Linked DNA regions of Arabidopsis thaliana. The protein of the gene in region 3 binds, or shares a complex with, the protein of the main gene of each other region. Each region holds a gene or a part of one and is shown on either strand. Other genes may lie near its edges. The genes, in order: AT2G10440, AT3G01435, AT3G10820 and MED8.

Region 1 (6,801 bases), on a different chromosome or scaffold from region 3:
TCTCAACATTTTGGTGAATTCTAGCGGTTTCCCGCGAATTCAACAGCGGTGCTTGACGTCTCGGCCCGTGTCATAGGGCAAAACACTTCATCAACACGTTTCATCAGCAAAATCTTTATGAGTGGATGTTTAAATTACTAAGGATGATTTAGTTTTATAGGCTTGGCTTCATTTTCTGTAATCCTTTTTTAAAACTTATATTCCAACCTTTTGGGCTCTATAAATGAAACATGTAATAAGAAAAAACAATAAAATACTTTAAAATCTTTTTTAAAAAAAAGGCTTTGTGCCTAAATATTTCAAGATAATTTATTATACTATCGGTTTTGAAACAATTATAATTTCTTGTTAAAATATATACAATAAGAAGACATGAGCCACACCATACAAATAAATGTTACTTCTATCTCAAAGGAAATAAAAAAAAACCTAACTTGGGCTATAAGGCTTCCCACCTAAAAACTATCTTGTACGGTGAGTGAGAAAGGAAGTATTAGTCCTCATGAAGCTCTTAGAACCGTTTCCCAAGCACCATACTTGGAGCTGAAAGTGCCTCCACCATGTCTCTCTGCGTACTCAACCATTGTCGCTCTCGCACAATCATTCCACGTTTGAGCTATTCCTTTCGAAAACCCTGGTTCTGAAAATTCCTTCATGGACAAACTGAACCTTGATCTGGTTCTCGCGGATAGATCCTCATACTTGTGTACACTGAAACATGCAGATATAAATCCTTAAGATCATATATATTTACTCCAATCGTTGTTACTTGATTTCTAAGAAAGATTCATACCTAGTGTCAAAGGAGATTTCCTCGAGAACTATCGGAGAACTATACGGATAATCCATAGGAAATAGTAAGCGTAAAGGTTGAATCTGTGCCTGCATCAAACATTTAGAGACATAAAAAATCTGAGCAGAGTGAGGAAAAAGAAGAAGTTTGAAGTAACTTACAATTTTTCCAGACTTGTAATGATCTTTGAATGTGGCACTGAGAGCCACAGGAGCATAAGTACAAGTGACGATTGTTCCTAAAGAATCTTCATCACATATCTCTACCACTGTCTCTACAAGTCTCCCATTTGTTTCTTTGATTTCTTGCAAAAGGGCATAACCAGGCTACAAGATTGAAAAAATGGATTTATTTCGATGTTTCATTTGTTTTCGTAGTTCGATACCAATAGAGTAGATTTTACCGCAATATTGTTAACTTTCAAGCCAGATGATGTTGTGGAAACAACTTCAGATTCAAGGCTACTCAACTGTTCATAACTATCAATTTGTGATGACATATCTGGCGGCACAATGTTGATTGATCGCTTCATTCTCTTAGACAGATTTGTTTCTTCGTGTGTGGTAAAGTTTCTTGTCCTCTCACTCAAATCCTCGCCTAAACCAGCTCTAGATCCTCCACTAGAAGGGAACGATCCTCCAATCATGTCAACCATACTAATCACCGAGCTAATCTCACTTACAGATTCTGCCAATGATTTTGGTGATGCTGCTTGAAACTAGAAAGCCACACACATTAAAAATTAGGTCAGTAAATAGGAGAAGGTAAAGAAAGTAAACTTAGATAAGCTATAGAGTTTACTTACCGCTTTTATAAGTCGATCAATAGGCCGCTCTGTGATTGGCTCGGGCGGAGGAACAAATAACAGAGGAGTTTCTTGTGTGCCAAGTTTACTAGAAGAATCTAAAGTTGAGTTTATTTCATCAACACCAGAAACTGGAGACTCAACAGATATAGGCATTTCAGAATCTCCAGGAACTGGAGATGGAGCTGGAGCAACAAAAGCCGAACCACTAGAGTTCAATGGGGTTCCGGTTTTGTTAATCGTCGCAGGAAGAATATGCTGGTCAACTAACTGAGGAGAAGAGTGGTTCTGTATCTGAGAGGATGAAACGTTAGACTCTTGCTTTGGAACCTGGCGCTGACTCGATGAGACTTGTTGCTCAAGCAACCTGGCTTTAATGTTGACCCTCTCCCTCATCCTCACATCATTCATCTCATTTGTCTGCATTTGATGTTGATGATTCCCTTGTTGTGGTTGTTGTTGTTGCATTTGTCGGTGATGGAATCGCTTCTGCTTCTGCAACGACTGAACCGAACTGATATTTGTGTTTACGGCCCGAGGATTTTGTTTAACAGAAGGTAACATGACATTTCCTGAGGAAGCCATAATGATGTTCTCGTCTCTTGGATCCAACTTAGGCCTTATTTGCAACAAAGACGAGGCCTCATTTTGGCTACTTGGCATCAACCGTGATCTCCTTTGCTCCTTATAAAGAGACTGTGACACATGGACTTGAGGACTTTGGGTTTGCATTGCTGTTTGAGAAGGAGGAAATTGTCCTTGTTGTTGCTGCGTTGGCCTCAAAACCATGGTCTGACTCTTGGTAAATTTCAATATGTGGTACTCATATTGACTAAACTTGTCTCTATGTTTCTCTGATACACTGCTCCTATGAACATTTAAGAAAAACATAAGGTGTTCCATTGACAATTTTCCCGCCTTTAGCTTTTCAATCCACTGAGCTTGCATCGGTTGCGGCGGAAGAGATTCAGTCTGGAAACATTAGGTTTATTAAACCAAAAACAACACAAAGTTTTAGAAAAAAAAATGATTAAGAAAACCATTAGAACAAATTCTTGTTCCACAAGCAAAACAATTAGGTTATAAAATAAAGTACCTCCCGCAATTTTTCCGCAACTCTTTGGTGCATTAAACTGAGAACAGGTAAACACATCTCTTTCAGTTTTTTTATCTGCAGGACATATCAGAATGGGAATCAATTGAAAACAAAATCAAACCCTAATTGTGATGTTAAGAAGTGAAGAGCAAAGCAAGTGAAGATACCTTCTGATAGGTCTCCTCCTGCCAGTTTCCGGCATTGACATTTACCGTCTTTCCCGTAGAATCTTGAGATGCTACAATGATATTCATTATTAGAACTAAAAACATTATCACAAGAGTTAGTAAGAGAGGAAACATACTAGATGGATTTGCTCTCTCTAATTGTTGTGGCTGGTTCTGTTGATCTGTTATGTTTTGTGTTTGGCGCAACGAACTTGCTGCTTGAAATTGATTGGTATTGTTTTGTACAAAATCCAAATGTTTCTGTAAGTTTCTGTTCTGAGGATCCTGCTGCATGGGGTATTGTTGTCGGTATTGTTGTGACATCATTGGTTGAGATTGTCCTACTTGTTGACCTCTAGTCATACTTTGGAGGTTATTCTTCTGTTGAGACATTGCATGTAAGGTAACATTATTGTTCTGCTGAGACGAGGATACCTGAAAAGCTCCTTGTTGGTCTCTATTGTTTGGTCGTGATGTTGGAAGATTCGTCAGTTGATTAATGAGTTGCTCTTGTTCTTGTCGTTTCTGTTCTTGAGACGGCAGAACCATCTGTTGTTGATGACTAAAACTGACCCGTTGTATCGAAAACTGATTTCTGGTCAGTGATTGAGTGTTTTGTTAGCTTGATTGAGGAAAAGGCTGTTGAATAGGTTGTTTCAACAAACTTTGCGGATGATGTTGCGGCTGCGGTGACCGAGCTTGTTGTTGCATGTGCGAAGGTCGTAAATTACCATGGCGGATTTGATTCATTTGAGGCTGTTGCTGCTGAGGAAGAAGTTGTTGCCTACCATGTATCTGTCTTTGAGAACCGGGAACGGTTATAGGGACCTGACTTGGCAAAGCAGATGACACAGAGATTGCTCTGTGTGTTTTGCTGTAACCATTGTTGGCTCGTTGTAGTCTGCATATATGGCAACAAGGCGGGAAGAGATTGAGCTTGATTCACAACTACTTGAGAAGCTGATGTTTAGATAAACACATAGAAAAAAAAAGTTAGTTAGTGATTTCTTTGTTATTAAGCTAAAATAGTATAATTATGAAACCAAAAACTTATTACCTAGAACTCTAGTGTAAGTTCTCTGTATATAATGCAGTGTTTCACTGAGTTTCCTAAGGTAATCATTCTGAAACATAGCAAGGGGACAATGAGTAAGATATCAAATTCAGATTCTGAAGTTAATAGATGGAGAAACAATTTGTAGTTTAACACCTTATCGGTTGCTATGCTATAAAAATTTTCTTCAAATTTGGAAGCGATGTCGTTAATCTTATATTCTTCATGTGCATGAAACTTTTCCTTGAACTTTTCAACTCTACACATACATGAGAACAAAATATCAGTGACTATGAAGAATTTGGTTATAACTGATATTCAAGAGGAAGTGATACCATTTTAATTGCACTAAAAATACAAAACAGAGAAAATAATCCGTAGTTAATATTCGAACTTACGATAATCGTTTAGCGAACAAACACTGAAACAATTATACATATGTGCCAAGCAATTGTACATAGAAGCGAGAGTAAAACAAGATTCTCCTAGTGAGGAAGAGCCTAAATGCAGGTAATGAGGTTAAAAGAATATGCAAAACTTAAAGTACAAAAGGTTGAAGTTAGGTTTTGTCAACTATGATAAACATTTATGCACAACTCTTATGCTTTAACTGTTGCAATCTTTATCATGCGCAAACTACAAATATCACATCGAAAGCATGACCAAGAAAACCTTACTCTCTTTCATGAATGTTAATAATCAAATAAGAACAATGAGTCCAACAAAAGAAACATGAAACTCTTGAAAGAATGGCTTACATTTTTGAAAGAACCTTTTGCCGTAATTCAGGCTCATGTTGTGATCTCCAATCAATACGATTATTCGCAGCATCACGGTTTCCGCCTTGTTCATTAGGCTTCCAGTTAGTATTTCCCTCCATTAAGTTATGCGTCCTAACGGGGAGATGTATGTATAGGCTTTGACCAAGAACCGCCTCGCTAAACCTTAACAAACAAACAAAAGAATGATTAGAGAAATTACTCAACATGGTAACACAAAACAGATAAATATATAGTACAAGAAAACGACAAAAGAGTATTCAAAAATCAATATGCATATCACGCTAACAACCTATCGCATAATATCACACAACACGTATTATAATATTTGTTGGTGCAGGAATTAGCACCTCCGACAATACTAATTTAAACCGAGGAATAATGTGAATAAAATCGAGAATTCGATTGAACCGGGGTATCCCGGTTAGCCTGTTAATGGGCCTAAGTCATGAGATCGCCCGAAGACTTAAGTCGACAATCAAGATCGCCATAACCAACTTCTTAGGTCGTGTAAAGGGAAAACTTCCATTTAAGAGAAGAGGATCTCATGAAGAATAGAAGTAATGAAGATTTAAACCTAAGATAATTAGAAGTTTATCATATTTTGGTATATTCGACCTATTGTATAAATAGAGGGGTCAAACCCCCCATTGAGATCATCTTTAACCTAATACAAGAGACTACTATTACAGAGCAAACCCTAGCTTTTTGTTTAAGCAACCTAGTTCTTTTCCTTTGATTATTTGTGAGCTAAGAGAGGAGTGAATTTGTCTAAATCCCTTAGTACAAATTCATTGTTTGATTACTGAATCAACAATATTTAATATATAATCCTAACATTTTAACAATCAGCACCCAATGTCTAATCTTATACAAATGAAATTCAGAAATACAAAAGTAAAGGTGATACTATGTTTCCACAGATCCTACCCTCACCTTGGCAACTCGGTTGGATTTTAAGAAATAGGACTAGCAACAATGGATCCGGCTCAACAACGATCTCAAACTACAACAATTTAGATTAATCAATCAAGATTATATTCCCTTAATAATTTGTTATTTAATCTAATAACTAAACCAAGTCTAATAATTTAATATTAGTTGCTTAACACGTAATTGACTACGCCACATCCATTTACGTGACCAAATACTCCCCGGTTTAATAATTAAACCAACGCCACAATTCAAATCACGTACATGTCAATGCTACTTCTGGTTTGACAATTAACCCAACGCTTTCTAATAAGCCAATAACTGACTATATCGTCTTCTTCACTAACACAACCCAACTGACGCCATAACCGATCAACTCAAAAGGTTCCTTAATAATCAAGTTTCAATTCATGGCCGTAACTATACGTAATCCCTTGGTTTAGGTTGGTTCAATAATTAAACAACACAACACCTTAACATGAATACGAGAATAAGGTTTCACCGTTATCTCACTCTGCAACGAAGAAGTAGAGGATTCGGTATCACAGACCCAAACAAAGCACCAATGATAGATCTAGATTCCGGTGAAGAAGGAGGACGAAGAAGGCTAATAGTGGCTCAGATGGTGATGATTAGGGTTGGATGTTACGTGACGATAACTTCACGTCACCACTTAACACGATCGGGACCACAACCACAAACTACAACGATGGTGAACTCGATAGTGGAGGATGATGGTGACTTGAGAGTTGAGATCAAATTTCTATGATTTTGATAAGGTTAACATTGCGTGCTCGTAACATAAGCGGCGAGAGGAAGAAGACATTATATACATACGTACACACTTCTCACGTTTAGGTCTTGTTTTTAATGAAGATGGGCTTAATGAGAAATTGGGTCTTAGCTTTACCTCCTTTCGCCGTCTCCAGTCACGCCGAGACAGCTCCCTTTCATGCTTCTTCCGCCAGAATCCATCGCCGGATACATCTCGAAGATTGAATCAGAGTATTAAGGTAATTCACGACTATGAATCTTCTGGATTAGCGTCAGTGTATTGTTTATATCGATGTTTGCGACTATTTTTGGTTTAAGTTACTGGATTGGTGGTTTTTGAAGAAGCATCAATGTTTATAGGTTTCAGTTGTTTCAAGAACCATTGGATTCATTACTAGTA
Region 2 (3,860 bases), 3.2 Mb from region 3:
GACGGTCGTGATCCGTTGCCACCACACAGATCCGCCGCGAGTTGATGGCTGAGATGAGGCAAGGCAGGGCATGAGGAAACAACAACCTCGCTTCGCGAACAACGCCTCGTGCATATCGTCGGTGGCATCAACTTCAGCGATCGGCGGCGATTGATGACTCATTCTCAGAGAGAAACAGAAACGAAGGAAATATGGAATTTCGTCCTGATCTAGCTACTCTCTTTTGTCTCCTTAGATCGTCGTTCCTCTTCTCATCTCCAACTCTAAACCCTAATTTTCTCCCTCTACCCAAGAGATTTCTATCACCTTCTCCAATCAACGCGTCTCTTGAGCTGTAACTAAAACAGAAGAGCACAAAACGGCGTAACCGCCAACCCGGCAATATTGGTTCTCATTAACCCTTTTTAACCGCTTTGGTTTTATCACATCTAACCGGGAATTTCAGCTGTTGATGCTATTAATTTATTAAACCACATATGAATGAAGGGGTTCATATACGTAATTGACGTTAGCACATTTGGTTCCAAGTATTGATCGATACATTAAACCGCAATAAAATTGGTCCGTTTCTCTCTGGCCCAAAATTGGTTCGATTTCTCCATAAGCTGAAATTGATAACTCCCAGTGGATGTAATGTATCTAATATTCTTGGAACAGATTCATTGCAAGTGAATGTTCTAACCAAAATCACCTAATCTTTTTGCAAAATCTAATATAGTAAGTAGGATAATATCTTACTTTTGCAACAAGCCACTCATTCGTAAAAACCGGACATACTTTAATGGGATAACCTACAAGTCTACAACTCATCTGGAAACTATATCACAACCGATGGTTTAGTATAGTTCTTCAAGTAACCTTTTTATGAATACCAATATCAATCAGAAGAAGGATACCGGTCAGCAGTTTGTTTCAGATCTTCAAGCTGCGTGAGAACATATTCAAGCTTCTGGAAGCAGATCTCATTGGCTATTCTCGCGTTGTAATCGCATTTCTCAAAGGGACGGTACTCGCAAGCGCTTTTGATCTCTTCCCTTAGTGTCACTTGTATATCCTGCAAGTTTCACAAGAACTTCATCTTATTATGGATTGGCGATAACATTATAGCACATTTATGTACAGTCAAAGATCAACAAGTTCATGAACCAGACAATGAAGCTGATATCTTCAAACTTTATGATTATCTCTAGAAAAAAAGCAGAATCAAAAGCTTTTTACTTGTTCACAGAATGTAATGATCCCTAATCTAGACATGTGTCAAATGAGAGCCCAAATGTTCTTTAAACAGTGAGATTCCATCCAATATGAAAATATCAGCATCCATCACTCATAAACCTTAAGCCTAAGAATAAAGGATCAATGTCAAATCCTAAGAAACAGGAAAGGAATACAAACCTAGAGATTGTGATACATGAACCCATATGTTAACTAGTCACAGAAGAATCACAAAACGAGAAGCAGCGGCCATCTTGAAGACTAAAACCAAAATCAAAATTCTAAACAAAGCCCTTAACTTTGATCAGGAAATGTAATGAACCCTAATATAGACTTGTGTCAAATTAGCCCAAACGATCAACACTCGAGAAAAGATACCAATTCCCCAGAGAGATTGAGTCAGCAAGAACACTAATCTAGCTAGACTTGTGTCAAGTGATCCCCAATGTTCTTTGATCAGGTAGTTTATTAATACACTAATGCAAAAGAAATCAGAAAATATTTGAAGAAGAGATAGAGTAAGAAACCTTCATAGATTGCATAAACTCTCGGCAATGGCTGTTGACGAACTCTTTCTTGGGACCAGAAGGGCTCGCGAGTTCTTCCATCACTCCACCAGCTAGTTCCAAAACCTTAACAACTCTCTGCCCGGAAAACCAAAAATAAAAACACAAAAACACATTCACATCAAATCGTCCAATAAAATCTCTAAGGAAAGAGTGAGTTTTCCAAAATTTCACATTCTCAACATTCTGGAGTCGCTGCAACGAAGTGTTCTGCGTCTGCGGATCCATTGGACTCTCCACGATTTCTTTTAGACCAGAGAGAGAGAACTCCAAACTGAGATATATCACAATACCGTCAAATCCACTCATACACATACCCTAAATACTCAAATCGGAGCAGTGGGAGTACCTCAATCGAACACGGCGACGCGAGACAGTGAAGATGGCAGAGACGATGAAATAACACGGAGAATTTCGATTGGAAACGGCGTGCTTATGATCAGCAACGGAGGGAAGATTTTGGGGAATCGGCGACACTCGGCAATACAGATCGGTGAAGGAAAAAGCAAAGAAGATACAAGTTTTTTTTGTCACGTAAAACGGCACGAACTCTACTTTATCAATTCAGGAACAGCGAGTAGTTAAAATATTGAATTACGAAAACACCCCTTGGTTCAGATAAAATCTTTGTGATGGCCGCTTTTCTCATTTATAACGGATAAAAACCGTAAACAATACACAAGAACAGAGGCTGACACCTAAAGCTTACTCTCTAACTGCAATGGCTCACTTCATAGACCTCAACAGTCTCACCAACACTTTACCGTCTCTTCCGAAACTACCCGAGAGTCGTAAAACCGGGAAATCCAGCGGGTTTGCTTGCAGGAGAACTGAAGAATTTCAAGAACCGGATTCGGTACAGATCACAAGACGGATGACATTAGGATTTGCTGTCTCAATAGGTCTTACCGGAATTCTCGGCGAAAATAATGTTTCCTTGGCACAAGACAATGGGTTTTGGATTGATGGTCCTCTTCCAATTCCTCCTATTTACAACAGTAAGCGCCATTTTATATTCTTGATTGTTTTCTTTCTTCAAATGTTTGAACATTTTGAGCCATACAACTATTCAAGATGAGAATTCGATTTGGTAGAATCATTTGATTTCCGGTTTTGAATTCGTCCTCGATTTGAATATACAGATATCGTGAATGAGAAGACGGGAACGAGAACATTCATAAAGAAAGGAGTGTATGTAGCGGATATCGGGACGAAAGGAAGAATGTATAGAGTTAAAAAGAATGCTTTTGATCTCTTGGCAATGGAGGATTTGATCGGACCAGATACTTTAAACTATGTGAAAAAGTACTTGAGGCTTAAATCCACATTTTTGTTTTACGATTTCGACAATCTCATCTCTGCTGCTGCCTCTGAAGACAAGCAACCTCTCACTGATTTAGCCAACAGATTGTTCGACAATTTCGAAAAGGTAAGTGTACTAATGAAGTCCTGGTTCGTTCAAACCGAAGAGACTATTGTTTTTTTAAAATTTCTTCTCTTTTCTGATATATCCTATATGTTTATTTGTTGTTTTCTTGGTGTTTCGACACAGCTTGAAGATGCAGCTAAGACGAAGAACTTAGCAGAGACGGAATCGTGTTATAAAGATACAAAGTTTCTTCTTCAAGAGGTAATGACCAGAATGGCATGATCCTGGTTCGGTTTATACCGGTTTACTTGCTATTGATGATCCTACATGGTTGATAACTCTGTGGTCATAAATTGTAATCTTTGCGGAAAAATATTGAGATCTAGTAATCAAAAAAAAAAAATGTAATGTATAGACCAAAATATGATCAAATTTATAACGAATTGGATTTTAATTTTTCAATCAAAGATACAGAAAGAAGAGTATATGCACTAAATGTTTAATATTGAAATCTTAGTTTTAAGAAAACATTTGGCCAAAAAAAAAAAAAGTTTTAAGAAAACCAATGTAATATAGACTAAAACATGATATATATCAAATAAACCGACTAACTTTTTGCCTAAAACTAACGGTTGAGTCGTTGAGATTTATCTTACCACATCGACATATTCACACACAAAATAAAGAAACAAACCCATAAACCAAAGATA
Region 3 (5,931 bases):
ATCTCTTTCTATAAGATTCTGACAATGAATTAGAAATTGGAACCAAATATTGTGCATTGTATGTCTGAACTCTGAACCAATGACATCATACTATCTTCATGTTTCTAATAGTTCTGATTGTGACGGGAGATACGGACCGTATTGTGCCAGCATGGAACGCAGAGAGGCTGGCACGAGCCATACCGGGATCAGTGTTCGAAGTAATTAAGAAATGTGGTCATCTTCCTCAAGAGGAAAAACCAGATGAATTCATATCTATTGTTGCAAAGTTTCTAGGGAATGCTTTTGGAGGGTCACAACAACAAGACGTGGACTTGAAGTTCCAAGGCATTGTATCATGAAGTATAACTATATATTTTAGCTCAATCAAGACTAAATTTTAGAGAGATTCTTCATGTTATTGGACCTGAAGAAACAAATGTCGACAATATCAAAGACTAGATAGATATAGAATAAAATAACCGAGAGACATTGATTCTTCAACAGATTGATATATAAGCGAGAATAATACACCATGTGGTGCTTCTTGCGAGTGCGGGCAAGTTTTGCAGAGTCCAGTTGATTAGCTTGGAGCTTGAAGCTGGCTTGAAGCTCCAACTCGTCAAGCCAACGCAAAGTTTCTGGAAGAACAAAGTCGGCAACATTTTGAAACTCAAAGCGAGGGGTGCAAAGGACTGTGCAGTCTTCCTCAGCCAAGAGGGCGACATGCTTCTTGTTCGTCAGAGTAGCAGCAGTCTCATCTTCCAGATTCTTCTCATTCGCCTGAGCCATGTACTGCCTGAACTTTTCGAGATAAGCCAAACTAGGGGCGCATCTCATTGCAATAGTAAACATGTAACCAAGAGCATCCACTTTCAGGCGCTTGCACTTGTCCAGTGAATCACAATCTCATGCGGATACTGTGAATCAGTTTCCTTGCATATAGCAACTTGTTGGCGAGCAAGAGACAAGTGAGTAGGATCAAATCGCTGATAGAGGAGGCCACCGGGATGAGTTCGATTGCGGGGAGGAAACTCTCTAGAAACCTTAGAGAGCATATGCATAAAGGTTTTCCCTACGCACCTAACCGTCTCGACGGAAGTCTTATGGATAAGGTCAAACTTAGGGCAAGCCTTGGCCTCGAACCTGACAAAGAGTGATCTCGTAAGGTCCTTGAGAGAAACAGATACGATGGCATCAACAAAATCCTTTTCAGTTAGAAGGACACTCATCTTCTTGAAAATCATCATCTCATCCACCATCTCTGCTTTATCTATCTGCACAAGTACGAGTCCAAAATATACAGGAATATCAATCATCAACTCATCATGTCTACATATGCAGCTAAATTTCAATTCTATGCAATGCAAACAGAGACCATTGTTTTACCAAACCTATGCTCTCACTTATGTTTATCAATAAAGGCCACAAAATTAGGGCTTTTCGATTTCCAATCAAAGACTTTCGGTTGTATCCCCGACGTACAAAATCTAGGCCAGAATTCTTAACAGCTCAACGTTTAACCCATCAGGTTTATCGATAACTAGCACTAGGAAAACAAAATTTACAACAAGGAAAATTGAAGTAGGTACCTTGAGAATTGGGAGGAACTATCACGAGGATTCGCGAGATTGAGGATGAGGGAAGGTAACTCGTAACCCTAGGAATTTATCACTCTGTTATATTTCACCTCATAAGTGATATTAAAAATTACAAAATCTTTGTATAAACAGATTTAAAAAGTTTGCTTGCCTCGCAAGTTAGGTTTAGGGATGGTCAAATACGAGAAGCCCTTTTGTCCTAATAATTTTCTTTTTTATTTTCATAATGAAACATGAAGAAAGTGAAAAAGGGATTTTCCCTTGTCACAATTATGAGGTTCTATTGTCACAAAACCGGACCAAACCGGGAATTCACTGGACCAGAAGTACCAATAAATACTGGGACAAAAGAATAGAGCATCCTAAGAAGTTTATGTTGGATCTGTCAATGCACTTTTGTTGTATATTAACGCCTCTGAATGGTCGTAGTAATTGTATAGATCATCCGAAGGAAAAAATGGACTATCTTCGTGTGGCGGGTCTCTTGAGTTGCGGTTTCTGAACTTTATTTTGCTTTGGGATAGTTTCCAGTACTTGTATCGTCCTCTGTCTCTTAGCTGTTCAAAAACAAATGGGTCATTAAGAATTAGGTGTATTGTAATAGTGGAAATATTGAAATCTCTTAAGACGATTTGACTAACCATTCTCATGTTGGTGGTAGCTCTCTTGGAGTTTCCGCTTTGCAAACTCAAACTTTGAGTCTGGATCCAGAGCTTTGAGTTTCTGAACAAAGACAAGAACACTTGCTATTAGAAACAAAACAGATTAATAATCAAACACCACGGCTTTATTAACTCAAACACTCACATCTTGTTGAGGTCCAGCAAGTTTCCGCTTTTGCTCAGTAACAGCAGTTGGTTTTCGTTGGATTGCGGATACCATTTGTTCTCTACTTTGCTTTGTTTGTCTTTTAGGCTCGACAACATCTGTGGCTGAGTGCTTCATAGGTCTAACATCAGCTTCTTCTCTCCTCGTCTGTTGATCATTGCAGTACCTCCCAACCACATTTGCATCATTTGTTCCCTTGGGTCTCCTCCCCGCACTACTTTGCGATTTTCTTTCATGTTTGGACTCCACACTGTGACGAGGATCTGAAAACAGTGGCCACCATGAGTGTCAAAATATAGGAAAACTTTCAAGTAGAGAACAGAGTACCAAAGAGTATACTAACTCACTTCCATCGCAGTCCAAACAATCTAAGATCTTCAAGTGACCCAAGACATTATGAAACAAGGACGAGGGAGGAAACTTGTCAGGATAACATTTCGTCTATGCCAGAAATAAAATATGATGAGAGGGAAAAATGTTAATAGACCTGAGAAAGTTCAAACCCATTAGGTTCAGGTGCATAGATATCTAAATCATGTGGAGGAGAAGGAAAGGCTTCTTCTTCATCAATTACTGAAAGGTTTAGAGACTCTGGCGTCCCTTCAGTGCCTGCAAGACCCAATTACTATAAATCTAGACCAAAACCTGCTCGCACTGACTACGGAACAGGAGGAGAGAGCTATTTACCAGCCATTTCCTCTGGGGTGTTCATCCACTGGTCCACCAGCCTCTTCCACTCTCTGTGCATCCCATATATAAAAACACAATCTTTATACTCGGGAGCCAGAAAGTAAGGAAGAGTAAAATGTTCTAAGTATTGAGCTAACACAAGAGCAGCTCCCTAATGATCAACCAAGGCTTTTATAATGACATTTTACAATTTGAGACATCCTACAAGGCAACTGGTTTGCATCTAAATCAAACCGTGGAGGTTCAATTTTTTTGGAACATTTTGCCAAAGTTTAATTCACATCACAGATGCGAGAGTATGAGAACAAATGAAACTAAGCACACAATGAGAATGATGAAACTCATACGCGAAAAGAGTCTTTGCAAGTTTGCTAATCTTATCGGAACTATGTCTCCTCAGACCATTAACAGCCTTTCCAATTTCAGTATCCTGCAAGAACGTAAACACTTAAATCACTCCACAGCCTCGAAAAGCTCCATCAGAATAAGCAACTTCCACTACACCAAATCATACAATATCAAAACAACACCAAAAAAACAAACCTTAAGAATGTCCACACTCATAGACATTGACTCAAGCTTTCTCAGAGATTCGAGTAACACAGAATCTTTCTGCAAAAAAGATGACAGAAACCAAAAACTCAACAATCAACACAAAGATTCCAAATTTAACCAATGAATTAGCACAAGTTTTAATGTAATCCAAGCAAAGAGACTAAAAACCTCATCGTCTTTGTTCGACAAGATATCTCTGATCCTCATAACCTCATCAACACTCACAGACGCCTCTTCACCTTCACCCGTCGCAACACCAGAATCACCCCTATCACCGCCGCCGCCAACTCCAACTATCTCCACCGCCGCTTCGTCTCCAGCTATCGAGAGCTCAAGGTGGTCACAACCAATGCAGCGACTCACTTTACAAGAGAAGAGAAGCTCAGCAATTCTATCACTCCTGGATTTAAACTCCTTTGGCCAATCTGCAGCAGCTACCATAATCGCATGATCAATGATACCAAAAATATCAGAATCTCCTCGCCGGAAATACTCTCTCCAAGTATCCAACGAAACAGATGGTCTCATCTTCGCCATCACGAAACGGCGAGGGAAAATCGATTCCGGAATCCGAATTCCTCGATCTGCAAAACCCTAATTAAATTTGAATTTAGGTTTTTGAATACGAATCAATATAGTACTAGTTGTGTAGTTTTTTTTTTTTTTAAGTTTCTCTGCAGGAAATAAAATTCGCCTGAGAATCTGACAAAAGTTTCTGCAGAAAGTCCACAAGAACTTTCCCGAGAAAACTTAAAGAAACAGAGCTTGAGCCAATTAAAAGAGGGCAAGAGAAGAAGACCCTAGAATTTTAAAAAGCCAGAAATTTATGTCGACATTAAAAAACTTAGGTTATAAAAAAAAATGGTAATAGTTTTGATCATTTATCTTGATAACTCATCTGTTTTATTTAAGTAAAATATTGAATTTGTCAATATATATATTAATTCTAAAGATATAGGCTTATGATTAACTGAATGATTATTTAGTTAATAGTAAATTAGTAATAACTAGACTATACATGTGTCGTCCTATATGACATAATGACCCTTGATGAAAAACACGTCACATGGCCTAGCTAGTATAAAGATGGGATATTCGTTTTTTTAAAGTTATGTTATCAACATTACATTCAGAGCATACTGTAATAGTAAATTATTAACACATTACACATGTCCTGATACCAACAATGGGGTACTCATTTTTCAAAGTTATGGATAATTACATTTATCACGTGAATTACTTGAAAGGTAATCTAAATAAACGCGTTTTTGGTGTCGCAATTATGTCGTTTTAAAAAGCATTGTTCATAGTCCCACAGATGTTTAGCACTATTTTTTAATTAGTACTAGTATTAAATTATTATTTTTGTATTTTTTTCATTAAATTTCTCGTTAGTTTCGTGCTTTGACTCTTTTGTTAAGCTTCAGCCACATGTTCCCGTTGTTGAAGCTGTCTTTTGAAGTTTCGTCGTCGATATCATCCTCGACTCTATTTTCAGTTGCGTTAAAGACTTCTCTTCTTCCAAAAGTTTCCTTTTCTTCTATTTTAAATATTCTTTCAGCACTTGGAGATTCACAAGTTTGTCGGATCAATCCATTTTAACTCCGGTAAGCCATACTTGCATGATTCGTTTTGTTTCCACCGATCACATGTTATCGTTTATGCTCCATAGCTTAATCTTTGACTCATTCATGATCTTTTTTTGGTTTAATGTTAAAACCCATGCATGATCTTGTTTCTGCATATTTTTGTTTTGGTTCAGTGTAAAAATTTCTGCATAATTTTGGTTCTACAAAAATAGCTACTATGCAAAAGCAAGATCACGGGGTCAAAGATTAAGCTATGGAGCTTAAACACTACTTGTATTTGACTATTTGTTTCTACGTCATTTGCGTTTGATTTGAATCTAAAGGCCTTTTAATCGATTTCTTGTCATGTGTTTGTAAGGGTTCAGTGTTTTATGTATCTTTCAAATTGTGCTTCTAGTGTATCCATTTTGGATTTGTGAAAGTTGTTTAGGGCTTATATATCTAAAATTGTAAAACCTATTTTAAATTAATATAACAAAACAGTTTCGGACTTTTAACTCATAATATCTCTTCGAATTTAGTTCATTTTCCAACTTTGAAATTCGTTGGCTTGTGATCTTGAAGCCTTGTTCCGTCCGGAATTTATGTTACTTAGTCACCAGTAGAGTTACAAACGATGAGTTATTTTAATCTTTTTTCTAAAAGGTCCTTGACAATGGTTTGACGAGAAAAAATCGTTTTTCCTTTTT
Region 4 (6,004 bases), on a different chromosome or scaffold from region 3:
AGGAAAGGGTAAAACCTTAGAAACATCTAGATGATGAGTTTAGATGATGGGCGTTATAATGAGCATCCATCTTTATTCATAACAAGTTGAGGTTTGTTTTGGGTTTTTTCCCTATAATAAAGCATTTATTTCATATAATATATAGTAAAATATTTATTTTATATAAAATTAATTTAAAGAAAATTATGCATTGAATATTTATATTAAAGAAAATAATATATCAAATCAAAGCCTTTGAGATGATGAGTTCAATTATATCTTTAAAACTTTTGAATACAAATATATGTTATAGTGAAAACGTTTATAACATATGCAAAATCGCACAAATAAATTATATTGTGTATTATTTTAAATTTTATAAATTTATTTTGCATTTTTTGAATGTGCACAATAAATTGTAAAAATAAGCGATTTTGAGTGATTTTTTCGCAAATTCCTAAAAACCAAAGTAAACTAGTTTTTCATATTTGTAACAAAAGCAAACAAAAAATTTAAAAGAAATGGTAACTAAATTTCAAAATTTGATTGAGGTAACTAAACGAGTCGTTGAGCTAAATAAGTACATAAAAAATGAGTATATAAAATTAAGTTGACAAGAAACAAAACAAATTGTCAGAAAATTTAATAGCTTTCGAGTCGCAGTTTTAAAGCTCTCTGTTTAAAGTTCAGAAAACAGGTAAACTTCATAGACACGTCGCTCTCTCGAGTCCCGTGTACAACAGAAACGCGTCTTCGTTTTGTCTCTATAACCCCATCAACGGCGTCGAGATGTTCACGTCGATGCCACGTGTCGAATTCTCAATAAACATGTCAGAACGAAAACAATCCTCCACCGTCCAATCTCTGCTTCACGTTTTTAACCTCATACAATGATACAAGTAAACAAAGTGTACTAGTGTAGTGTGAAAGTACCATACAACTAGAGAAATCTGGTGAGTGTATTAATGTTAAAGAATGGGCCAGGCCTTTGGTACTACAAAATACAGGCATCGGCCCATTACAAGCCCAAATTATTTAAAAGGGGTTATTGAGGATTTTGGTGCCTTTGTTGAGCATTCTGCATCATGTTATTAGGCTGTAGACTCTGCTGATTCGTCTGCATATTTCCATAGCCTCCTTGTTGTTGCTGCTGCTGCTGCTGTTGCGATTGCTGAATTTGTGTTTGCTGTGTTTGCATCATTCCGCTGGTGTTAAACACTGTAAAGATAGGACAAATGAAATAGTCAGGGAATCGATTTTGATGTAAGAAAACATGTTTTAGAAGAGATTTGTTTACTTACTCTGGTCACCCAACATTTGAGACGAATGGCTTCTTTGGGGATTGGTACCCGAAACTCCAAATTGCTGACAACCATAAAAATCCAAAGAGATCATCAGATTAAGACAATGTTCATCGTTCAGATTTGGGAAACATAATGAGTAGAGGAGTTTTTGAGCTAACCTGCATCCTAGGAACAAGTGTCTGAGATTGCATAGATGACATGTTTGGTATCTAGAATTAAAAGAAAAAGTACGTAGAAAATATGATTAGTAATTGTTTCGAATCATCAATTCAAGAGGTTAAAGAGAGGTGACTGACCATTTGGCTACTTGGGGAGCCTTGTGCAGAAGTAAACAATGCACTATTGGCTCCACCTGAAAACTGGTTTAAGTGACGGTTCATCGCTGGATTGAGCTGTCCTTGAGACATGCTATGCTGAATATGTCCACCTGAGAGCTGTCTAGCTTGGAATTGTTGGTGCGCGCCCATTGGCTGGGAATATGGCATTTGATGTTGCCCATGTGACTGAAAAATAAGATAAAACTCACACTTAAAAGACAAAAGCTTGTTTCATAATTTCATTTGATTCTACTGTTTGAAACTACGAACTGTCACAGTTACTTTTATATAAAAGCTTCTGCCAAGTCCCAAGATCTAGGATAACTTTTCAAGAGTATGAATCATTCACTTGGTATATGTAAACTTGTATAAATACGTCTAGTCATCTTCATTTATGGCCATAACTACTGCATAATGATACAAATAATTGACCAAGGTAGTGTCTGATCCTTTTCACTTCACACATCTATCCCCTAACTATGTTGTAGTTCTATTTATCTTACCGTCTGAAACTTTTGCTGAGCTTGCCCATGCATATCATGAAGTGCTGGTATCTGACTCTACACAAAGAATTAGCATGTTGCTCAATAAAGCAGTATGGTAGGAAAAAACAGTCAATTGCTACGTCTGCAAAATGTCAAAGCCTACTTGACCCAATCCCTGCATAGAAGATTGCCTGAGCTGTTGTTGTTGTTGTGCAAGTAGTTGCTGCTGCTGATGTTGAGGCAACTGCATTAATTTTGACCTTTGCTGCTGCTGTTGAAACTGTTGTTGCTGGATTTGATGCTGAGGCGAAGGCACATTAACCATACCCGTAGCGCGAGGAGAATTGGAATATGGTAAGGGAGATGTTGTGTTATCAAAATTAGGACCAGATGGAGATGCAGCTGATCTTCCCACAAATTGAGTCCCGGAAACCTAAAAACACACAAAGACATGAACCTCGAAAGACAATGATACTAACAAAAGTAATAATCATCACAACTAGAGAGAATAAACTAGTTTAACCTGCATCATTCCTTGATTGTTAATGTTGTTTGATTGCCCAGGTAATGCAATCTTACCTAATGAAAGAGAATTTTTGGAGCCATTAACAACGTGAGAATACCATTGGTAGTAGTAACAAAATAAAGAAGATTCAAGCATTGGGTTTACTTCTACCAGACAGATCAATGAAATCGTTACCTGCATCATTGATAATTAGCACATCTGCCAGATGTGGTGGAAGTGCAGTGGTTATCTGTCTCTGGTCTGGAGGCAGTTGTGTTCCTAGAAACAACCATTGTAAAAGAACATGAGAAGGAATTCAGCAAAACAGAAAACTGCAGTTTCGTACACTATCAAATGACTCAATAAATTCTAAAACCCTCTTACCTTTACCGTCATTTACAGCATCTCGTAGCATTTTCTCCTGCTCCTGAATCTTTGCAGCTTGACCTTTATCCATAGTAGGAAGCATAGACGGGCCTTGACGAGTGCCAAATCCGTAAGCTTTACGAGTATCAGCTAATACTCTTTCTGCATTTTCACAAGCTGCTGCAATCATATCCATCCTCGCCTGTAATAACAGATACCATTTCAAAAACCAGCAAACAAATCACAACAAAAATACATTACAAAACTAACCTTAAGCCTTTCGATTTGCATTGGTATAGGCAAACTCTGAACACCTTGAAGCAACTGCTCTCTCTTGGCATTGTCATCAGTTTCCATCTCCGGTAGTAATTTCGAAGACAACATAACCGGTAAAACTGCAGATTCACTGATAAATGCTAAGCTAAACCAGTTCATCACATTCACAATTCATTTAACTCATCAACTAAAACAACTAAAAAAAGACCATACTTGCAGCGTTCATAGCATTGACGTTCTTAGGAAGCACAACAAACGCATTTGAAACTCTCTTTACTTCTTCCACAATGTTAAAAAGCTCGAGATTTACCATCGAATACTGCCCTAGAATATCCTGCCTGTTCAAAACAAAAAGAAAATCAATCCTTGTTACAAAAAATTCATAAACATCAAAATATTATCAAATTCTGGATTCGATGATGATGAACCATTTAGGAGTAGTGTTGGTTCGACCATAAGCGTCGAAATCTTCAAGGATTCGAGCAATGGCTTTGGCCAAGCTAACGGCTCGTGTCTTCAACGACTCCAGATTCAGTTCCTTCTCCAGTTTTGGATTCAGCTTCTCAGCTACCGGAGGAGGAGGTGGTTGCTGCGGCTGTGTCTCCATTGATAACACAGAGCTAATACACAAACCCTAATTCCAAATTTAACGTAATTAGGGGTTTTTAACATCACAGCGAATTGAACAAATTAATTAGGTTTCCGATTTGAAATTGACACAAAAGTTTCGATTAGAAACACACACAAAAGAGAAACTTACGAATTAGAAAACGAGGAATGCGCAAAATCTCGAAGAAGGCTTTGATTTGGAGAAGTTAGTTATTGGAGAAGACGAGAGAGTGTGTTTGAGAAATAGAACCGGGAAATATAATAACATACCGAATCCATAACATATATATGTGTTTCCTCTTTGAAAACTTACAAGGTTGCAACAAATAGACAGAGCGGATAAATCCGTTTGCAGACTAGACCAATATGTCGCTAAGACGGACAAATCTGTTTGCGGAGTAGACCATTATATTTCTAAGACGGACAATAATCCGTTACGGACCAAGTTTTGTTTTTTTGCTTTCAAATAAACTATTTGTTGGTCCGTAATAGAGTTTTGCGTGATTTGTAGATATAACACTTTTTTACTAAATAATTAACCAACTAACACCATAAATTTGTAAATGTAGTAAATAACCTTCAAGGAGAGTAAAAAGACATCACTGTCCTGGTGTTACGCTTCGTCAGCGAAGAAGGAGAATGATTAGTGTGAGCTGACGTGACTTTATTATTGGTGTTGAGGTGAGAAGAGAAATAGGTGGTAGGAGAGAAATTCTCTTTTCTCTTTCTTTTTTCTTTACTCCTTTTCAATTGTAACTCATATTATCTGATCTTAAAAAATTTAATTCAAGTTCATGATATATCTATTAAAAAGTTGTATAGTTTTCTACAAATATCATGACTTAAATTTTTGAAAATAGACACAAAATAATTTAGATGTGAATAGTGTTGTCAATGAATAACATAACGTTCTATATAAATTGACAATATTTTTTGATGGAAGTATACTAAACCCTAAAGGGATAATATATAGGGAACCCAAGGGTTTAAATCTAAAACATTAATGAAATCACTTAACATCTTTAATCAAAACAAACAATTCATTTTAAAACGTATATAGAACAAGGTATACGTAAATAGTATACTATTTACAAAATAGAATAGTATCTCTCAAAATGCAACAACGGAACTCAATTTCATCACCAATACACCAAGCGCAACAACGGAACCCTATTTCATCATCAAGTGCAACAACGAAAGTCAATTCCCTGAACCTAACTTGTGTTCCTCGCTCTGTAATTCGAAACCCCCAAATCAAATATCACCCTAAAGTAATTAAGAGACTCTAATTTGAAATAAAAAACAAGTAACGAGGTAGGTGTAGGAACTTTATTGGGAGGAGAAAGAGAGAGGGGGAGAAAAAAAGAAAGAGAGAGAAAGAGAGAGAGAGAAAAAGATAGAGGGGAGAGAGAAGGGAAGAGAGAGGTAGACGGAAAGAGATAGAGGGGGTAAACTTGGAATTAATATATAAAATATAGAGGATATCATTGCTTTTTTTTTTATGCTAGTTTCTTAATTATATTTTTTTTTGGTTAGTTTTCCAATTCCCCTAGAGTTTTTATATTTTTTCCTATTTACTAAACTGCGGACCAAAATTATGAATAGTGAATAAAAAACGGTCTTTGTACGCAAGTTAGTCCGTCCCATTGTAAACCCACTCAAGGAAATGGTTCTTACAAAGTAAAACTATTTAAGAAGATATTAGTAACTTGTGTGAAAGATACTGTTGGCTTTGTTGATGGTTCTTGGTGATTCAAAATCCTAGAAGAATCATCCAATGTAGTCTCTCTAACCCATAAACATAAGCTTCCTTAGTTCATCCTACATAACTTGTAAACTTTTGTATAAATCACTTAATAAACAAGAGTACTTTGAAGACAAAAACAAAAACAAAAATGTAGTAAACATTGTTTTGTTTGTTTGTTTTACATTGAAAGAATGAAAAAGAATAGATACAGAGGCTAGAGTTTGTGGGAAGGGAAGGAAGAGAGAGTTTCTCATCTTTTGGCTGTCATGGCGTTACTTTGACAGCCCTCCAAAGACACTACTAACTTTTATCGCCGGAGAAATATGGAAAACCTCAAAAAATCTCATCTGACTGAGAAATTATGTATAGAAAAGAATTAAGTGACATCTATTGAAGATATAGAAAAAATAAATGAA

What was found.
Region 1: AT3G10820 (region 3) and AT2G10440 share a complex: the UniProt entries of both Arabidopsis thaliana proteins name them as parts of the mediator complex.
Region 2: AT3G10820 (region 3) and AT3G01435 share a complex: the UniProt entries of both Arabidopsis thaliana proteins name them as parts of the mediator complex.
Region 4: AT3G10820 (region 3) and MED8 share a complex: the UniProt entries of both Arabidopsis thaliana proteins name them as parts of the mediator complex.

Annotation. Positions count from the first base shown.
Region 1 is NC_003071.7:4,013,252-4,020,052, forward strand, and holds AT2G10440 (mediator of RNA polymerase II transcription subunit), read right to left. Parts: upstream 4,796-6,801; coding exon 4,674-4,795; intron 4,337-4,673; coding exon of another isoform or gene 4,310-4,336; intron 4,175-4,309; coding exon 4,072-4,174; intron 3,986-4,071; coding exon of another isoform or gene 3,919-3,985; intron 3,822-3,918; coding exon of another isoform or gene 3,763-3,821; coding exon 3,650-3,762; intron 3,560-3,649; coding exon 3,435-3,559; intron 3,392-3,434; coding exon 2,999-3,391; intron 2,957-2,998; coding exon 2,862-2,956; intron 2,770-2,861; coding exon 2,695-2,769; intron 2,571-2,694; coding exon 1,599-2,570; intron 1,512-1,598; coding exon 1,197-1,511; intron 1,120-1,196; coding exon 955-1,119; intron 913-954; coding exon 794-912; intron 712-793; coding exon 501-711; downstream 1-500. UniProt on the Arabidopsis thaliana protein: Component of the Mediator complex, a coactivator involved in the regulated transcription of nearly all RNA polymerase II-dependent genes.
Region 2 is NC_003074.8:165,976-169,835, forward strand, and holds AT3G01435 (uncharacterized protein), read right to left. Parts: upstream 2,314-3,860; 5' UTR 2,131-2,313; intron 2,079-2,130; exon of another isoform or gene 2,056-2,078; 5' UTR 2,010-2,055; coding exon 1,743-2,009; intron 1,055-1,742; coding exon 878-1,054; 3' UTR 539-877; downstream 1-538. Other genes in the region: AT3G01430 (NHL domain protein), read right to left, coding at 1-162; PnsL3 (PsbQ-like 1), read left to right, coding at 2,503-2,779, 2,924-3,210, 3,334-3,432. UniProt on the Arabidopsis thaliana protein: Component of the Mediator complex, a coactivator involved in the regulated transcription of nearly all RNA polymerase II-dependent genes.
Region 3 is NC_003074.8:3,385,617-3,391,547, reverse strand, and holds AT3G10820 (Transcription elongation factor (TFIIS) family protein), read right to left. Parts: upstream 4,349-5,931; 5' UTR 4,191-4,348; coding exon 3,822-4,190; intron 3,711-3,821; coding exon 3,642-3,710; intron 3,529-3,641; coding exon 3,446-3,528; intron 3,149-3,445; coding exon 3,096-3,148; intron 3,018-3,095; coding exon 2,896-3,017; intron 2,784-2,895; coding exon 2,756-2,783; intron 2,672-2,755; coding exon 2,388-2,671; intron 2,304-2,387; coding exon 2,222-2,303; intron 2,138-2,221; coding exon 2,044-2,137; coding exon of another isoform or gene 2,043-2,043; exon of another isoform or gene 1,920-2,042; coding exon 1,886-1,919; exon of another isoform or gene 1,640-1,885; coding exon 1,572-1,639; intron 1,396-1,571; exon of another isoform or gene 1,312-1,395; coding exon 855-1,311; 3' UTR 545-854; downstream 1-544. Other genes in the region: AT3G10840 (alpha/beta-Hydrolases superfamily protein), read left to right, coding at 112-341. UniProt on the Arabidopsis thaliana protein: Component of the Mediator complex, a coactivator involved in the regulated transcription of nearly all RNA polymerase II-dependent genes.
Region 4 is NC_003071.7:903,813-909,816, reverse strand, and holds MED8 (mediator subunit 8), read right to left. Parts: upstream 4,305-6,004; 5' UTR 3,993-4,304; intron 3,867-3,992; 5' UTR 3,840-3,866; coding exon 3,661-3,839; intron 3,571-3,660; coding exon 3,446-3,570; intron 3,352-3,445; coding exon 3,227-3,351; intron 3,159-3,226; coding exon 2,975-3,158; intron 2,870-2,974; coding exon 2,786-2,869; intron 2,665-2,785; coding exon 2,609-2,664; intron 2,519-2,608; coding exon 2,249-2,518; intron 2,161-2,248; coding exon 2,104-2,160; intron 1,787-2,103; coding exon 1,580-1,786; intron 1,493-1,579; coding exon 1,442-1,492; intron 1,345-1,441; coding exon 1,281-1,344; intron 1,198-1,280; coding exon 1,025-1,197; 3' UTR 545-1,024; downstream 1-544. UniProt on the Arabidopsis thaliana protein: Component of the Mediator complex, a coactivator involved in the regulated transcription of nearly all RNA polymerase II-dependent genes.